Linked DNA regions of Kluyveromyces lactis. The protein of the gene in region 1 interacts with the protein of each later gene in a pairwise test. Links are inferred from orthologs where the notes say so. Each region holds a gene or a part of one and is shown in the gene's direction. Other genes may lie near its edges. The genes, in order: KLLA0_F19965g and KLLA0_D08811g.

Evidence for each region.
Region 2: the proteins of KLLA0_F19965g (region 1) and KLLA0_D08811g interact in a two-hybrid assay, tested with the Saccharomyces cerevisiae proteins (2 studies listed by BioGRID). The link is inferred for Kluyveromyces lactis from reciprocal best matches to the Saccharomyces cerevisiae genes MRX16 and YJL218W.

Annotation. Positions count from the first base shown.
Region 1 is NC_006042.1:1,858,884-1,862,237, reverse strand, and holds KLLA0_F19965g (uncharacterized protein), read left to right. Parts: upstream 1-1,485; coding exon 1,486-2,844; downstream 2,845-3,354.
Region 2 is NC_006040.1:743,314-746,205, reverse strand, and holds KLLA0_D08811g (acetyltransferase), read left to right. Parts: upstream 1-1,590; coding exon 1,591-2,160; downstream 2,161-2,892. Other genes in the region: ERG9 (bifunctional farnesyl-diphosphate farnesyltransferase/squalene synthase), read right to left, coding at 1-231; KLLA0_D08833g (uncharacterized protein), read left to right, coding at 902-1,027; KLLA0_D08789g (uncharacterized protein), read left to right, coding at 2,187-2,516.

The DNA of each region.
Region 1 (3,354 bases):
ATTTCACAAGACAAGATGTGCAATTGAAAGCTGTTCTTTATATATGATTCTTATAAACTCCCACACCCCTACTATGGCTTGGCCTGTACCCTTTTTTTCATCCCATAACAAGGTGCGAGCTCAAAGTAGATACATATATTACGTAGCACCTCTAGGAACCAAACTGACTTGCCTTGGCCATAGCAATGTTACGCTTCCTGTTTTTTTATTTTGTTCTTTTTTTCCATCACCGTCTTTGCTAAAGCATATGGGCCATGACAACAGAGCCTGATTATTTAATGAGATATACTTGGTGCAGAAAGAGGCAGAATACGGCGAAATTCACTCAGCATCTTCTTTTTTTTTTGCTTCAAGTAGATGCTGACACATGGAAATGAAGAAGAGGCGAGAACGACGTATAAGCGGATTCTGTTTCGTTCCTCGAACTCATGAAAAATAAAATATTTTTAATGTTTTCGTCGTATTTCTCATAGATATCATTGGCTGATTCTAACTAGGTCATGCCATCAACTGCAAAGCTCCTAGGATGAGCCTCCTGCTGTTAAGTTTATCCGAATACCGGGATAGATGCGGTAGTGAGCCTCAGCGAGCCTCAGCGAGCTATAGAATATGAATATGCAATAGTGTTCTTTCCGTTACCCGATGAGTAGTTAACGGAAGGGAAAAAAAGAAACATCTGATCCGAAATTTACGGCTATTACAGACGGATGGACCCTTTATTTTAAAAACCGTTCTCTTCTTCAAATGATAGAAGCAAATACAGTAATACTTCAATGCTTGCTCTATTGCTGCGATTGTTAACATTCTTTGAGGACAACTCGAAATCCGTGGTAATACGTCTGGAGTGTAATTCAAACTTAGATATCTTTTCATGTTACTATTGGTTGTGTGTGACGGAGATATTCGTAGATCTGACAAATGTCAAATTTATAGCATAAACTTGGGAATTAACGAGAGTAGTAGAAACTAAGGATACAACATAGTATCAATTCTAGTGAATCCCAGATAACTATCCGTTCATGACGGCGATTACAAGATATTAACACCAAGAGGCTCATGGCAACATATAGATGCGTATATATCACATTATTATTCAGATTTTCCGTTTGTCATATAGAAAAAAAAATGTATGCATGAAATTTTGGGATTTGAAATTTAAACTTGTATTACAAATGGAAACACATTTTGAGTATTTCAAAGACAGAAGGGTTTTAGATATATACGGTACTTGTAGGTTTTATAGTTTGATTCTTCGTGTGTTCTGTTTTTTTTTCAGATGTCTACTGTATTTAATATTTTGGGATGCTTGTAGAACTCTAAGTCTACTAAGTTTACGGTTCAACTTGTATTTTGTTGATTCTTTATTGAAACTGTGCATTTCATACAGTTGCTTTGGTGGCAGTGAAAAAATTAAATTTGGATCAAGATTACTAGATTCCAGAGCCTGAGTGTTAGATATTAAAGACTCGAATTACTTTGTAGAAGATGGATATTGTCGATACTAGTGAAGCTTTGATCAATATACCAGAACTTTTGGCCCATGAAAATATTTATCAGATCCAGGTGGGATCGAAATTGTTTAAAGTTAGTGGTGCATCGCTAAGCAGCGATGGTCCCTCTTTTTTCACTGACTATTTCAATTCTCAAGAGAATGCAGATGCATCTCACGTTTTGACCATCGATAGATCGGATGTTGTTTTCGAGACTATTATGGCCCATTTACAAGGATATCCTCTATCAATATTGGATGAGAAAGAATTCATTACCTTATTTTTGGATTCGTTGTACTATAGATTACCTAGGTTAAAGAGAATGTTGCAAAAATACGACTATTATTTCATTAACATCGGCGGTAAGCATTTCAAATTCTCAAAAAGTGTCTTCGATAGACCCGGAGACTCCCCTAATTATTTTAATCTTTTGATCGACTCGATGTTGGTCGATGTGGAGAACTTGTTCCACGATAAAAAAATGATCAGACCCCCATCTCATTTCATCCCATTCGTTACTAGATCCAGTGAATTGTTTCAAGAAATCCTAAATCTCTTAACGGATGACGACTACGTTGTACCTGGTCATATCTCTATCAATAATCTTTTAAGAGAGTGTAAGTTTTACTGCTTGCTTAATTTACAACAGAGACTCCTTCCTCATAAGATCACTAGTAATCCATTTTGCAAAAGAGAGGAGATCACTATGAAATTACAGCATCTCAGAAGAACGGGGATGAAACTATTGATGCAAAGTGAAGACATAAATGAATGTATCATTCGCAGTGATTCCGAATCTGAGGAATCCGCTTTTTGTCCCAAAAAAAAAAGAAAAATGGAATCTCCGGCAGAATGGGATATGATCTCTTACCAACGCCCTTATGTGGATAAAAATCCGAGGGATTTGGTGGTACAAATCGATTCCGGTGACTTGACTCTTTATTTCAATAAGAGAATGAAAACTATTCACGTCAATGTTGCTAACCCATTGGACTGCCGTATTTTGAAGAGTTTGTTCACAGACATCAGGAAACAACGCAATATCAATGAATCTCAATTCGAATATCCTAATTTCAAGGGATACGTTTTCCTCACTTGCACGATAATAGCTGATTTGACTATCAATGGATTGCCATGTAAAAACGTCTGCTCGAAAATCGATGAGATCAAAACCAATGAACAAATCTACGATTTCAGTAACGGCGATGGCATGATGCCAGGTTTATCCTTATACGTTGTAGGGCCCTCACTTTGGCGCTTGGGGGTAAAGAATGAGCATATCATCTTCCTTCCACTAAAATTGAATTGTATCTCAAATTTAAGACAGTTCAATAAGAATTTGCAATTTGTCTGAAAGAAAGTCTTTTTGCGCAGAGTCAGACGTTTTTAATTTTTGACCTATTTCCACTGAATTTTTTTACTGCTTTCCTGAACTGTTACTTATGTAACATCTTCTCACCGTCTCCCATCATTTGCATATTTCATCTCTCATTATCCTCTTAACCTCTTCCTCTTTGTCAGCTCATCTTAGCCAAATTTTTTCAGTGCATCATTCTATTATCTAAAGTTTCATTCTTCAAGCTTTTCGATGTAGGAGTCGCATATTTTCTTTACGGAGTTTGACACATTGGCCAGCTAGTACCAGTCGAATCTGCTCATCTTCTCGTTCACTGCTGTCACAAATCTCATTTTAAAAACGTTTACTTTTTAAGTTGTATTATTTTTGCTTTTACGCGACTCTCGTGATTCGAACGGAGGAGGTTTTTTATTATAGACATTGTTTTTTTTTTTTTAGTATATATGTATTATTGTTCACAGGCTTTTTTTGTGTACTTGTCGCAGCTGGCGACACATATTCGTTAAC
Region 2 (2,892 bases), on another chromosome or scaffold:
AGCCCTCAAAACCAAATAAAAAAGCATGACGGCATTACGCAATTCAGGATGAAGTTCCATAATCACTGCAGCAAAAGACCTGGAAGTCAACTTCAAAAGCTCGTGGCATCTCGTAAGATCGGCAGATTCTTCAATCACGACATCTGGAAATAATGGCTTTCTCAAAAACTTCAATTTTAAGGCTGCTTTCAATTCAAGTGGATGCGAAAGTAATTCAGCAACTTTCCCCATCTTGACAGTATGATGTTATCTGTAATTGATGCAGTTAAGGTATCGAAAAGTACGGTTCATATTTTCAATCGTAGAATAAAATGACTATCCTATGTGTTCATATATACGCAAATTATTTTAAGCTGTTTATTTTTTTTTTTTTCTTGGTGATTCGAAGTTATCGTTCAAACGAGCAAGAGGTGACGCAGCCAGAAATACGATGAGGGCAGCTAAGGTCAGAGATAAGTCTTTAAAAAAAAATCAGTGCACGCTTGTCGATTCAGTGTAAAACAAGTGCATATCCTGGTTGTAGAACTGAATTGTTATGTTTGGCCTAGGCAATAAATTGCCTACAACATTAAACTAGTGGTTTTTTGCTGAATCAGTCTTTTCGAACAGGAAATGTCAGTCTAGGTTTGGAATATTAAATTGACATTCGTATTCGTAAGAAAGCAGATAGATTGTAGTTAAAAGAGAATGTGGTTAACGTAATTAAAGAATTAGCACAGTGTGTCATTTGAAAGTCGAGAAGGGTTCTGCTTCTTCAACCGTGCGTTTGCTGGCTACACGCTCTAACATACATACACAATTCACATATACGAACAAAAAAGTAGGTCGTACCCGGATTCGAACCGGGGTTGTTCGGATCAAAACCGAAAGTGATAACCACTACACTATACAACCAGCTATCATGTCTTCTGATGTTGTTTATAGAAGCACATTTTCAAGTGCTAGTCATGAACTCAAAATGCCTTGTCACCTTTCAACCCTTCTGGAGTGCTTCTTAGAAGGAACCTTCAACTGCCAAGTGCTATAATACTATGACAATAAAAAGTACAAAACGGAGTGAAAGATCAATTGCCAATGTACTTCCACCAAAAAATACTTTGGAAGTTTCCCCTTTGTGGATGTATTTCATTAGTCCATTCCAATTCTTAAACCGTGGCATACATGAACGATATCCTCCATTGTTCTACTACACGGTCTGAACAATGTATCACCAATTGTCATGAAATTTTACTCGAATCGTCAGCGATTTATCTCCAATCGATTACAGTATCATGCAACGACACTTGCATTTGGTATTCCGATATTCCGGTATGTCTCCCTTTATGCAAGGGTTTTTCCGCAGCTACTTAAAGTTCCGAAATATCAACACTTTATAGGTGTAATTTTCATTCCACATAGGTTTCACTGCAGAGAAATTGACGTTTAGACATATCCGAAGTATACCTTCAAACGCATATAAAAACTGGGGAATTTACAACCACTTGAATCTATTCAGCTTTTGAACATCCTTACAAGATAAGTTAATCTAATTATACTGTCTCCTGAATAATAAAGAGGATTGGATCAGGATATTCACAGGCCATTTTAACAATGACAAGGAGCGAAAAAGAGAAGATGCTTATAGGTGAGCCATACTTATGTATGGATCCTGAACTCGTAGAAGAAAGACTCAAAGCACGTCAATTGGTTTACGATTTCAACCAGTCCAAACCAGAAGATGAAGAGCTTAGAAAACGGATTCTAGATCAGTTATTGGGAAAGCACTACAACGCCTTTATTGAACCAAACTTTCGTTGTGATTATGGATCTAACATCACTGTCGGAAAGAACTTCTACGCCAATTTCGATTGCATTATGTTAGACGTTTGTAAAATTGAAATTGGTGATGATGTTCTGCTGGGACCTGGTGTACATATATACACAGCGTCACATGCTCTGGATCCTATTGAACGCTCGAAAGGCGTGGAGTTTGGTATCCCAGTTAAAATTGGAAATAGAGTCTGGATTGGTGGAAACGTGACAATCTTGCCTGGTGTTACAATTGGTGACAATGCTGTTATTGGATCTGGAAGTGTGATCACTAAAGACGTTGATGCTAATGTCGTTGTGGCAGGTAACCCTGCAAAATTTATCAAACACATCGAATTGAACAAGAAATAAATAGTATGCAAACTTCACATTAAAAAATGAGAGTCAAGCCAGTATGTTTCATGGCTGTGTGTTTACCTCATGGTACTGGTACAGCCTGTAGTATATATGTGGTTTTTACTAGTAATAGTCAAACACTTTCGATTTTGTTCTTGGTTTCAGTGTATGCTAAAGCAAGTACCTGCTTAAACGCTGACATCATTTTGAAGTCTGATATGGATCAGTTTTTAATTAACCTAAAGGTACGTCTTAACGATAGCAGTACAAAAACGCCTACATTGGTTGTGTGTTTGAAGAACGAACGACAGAAACCACGCCATTACTTAAAACCTGAAAATTCTCCCTTCATGCAATTGATTAGGAAATAACTTCTCATATGAAGGAGCTTCCTTAGAAACTCTCTACACAGCTGTAGTGTTGCGGTATGTGACTATACATGTCACGTGGCTTTGATCTTGTCAGATCTTTATTAGAAGAATCCATCTTGATTAGCTATATATCTCCTAGTATAATTAGATGCACCTAGTGTCTTTAGATCTGATCCCTACTAATTAGTAGATTAGATCTAAGTACTGGTTTATATACTTTGTTATGTGTCAGTGACACAAAACTATCATTAACCGCCTATTATATTGGTATTACCCTGTCATGCATTATGACTAGTTCCAACAAGTTCCAACATGTAGATATCAGTTCTGAAAGAAAACCAGACGACATGATAACTGGTTGTATAGTGTAGTGGTT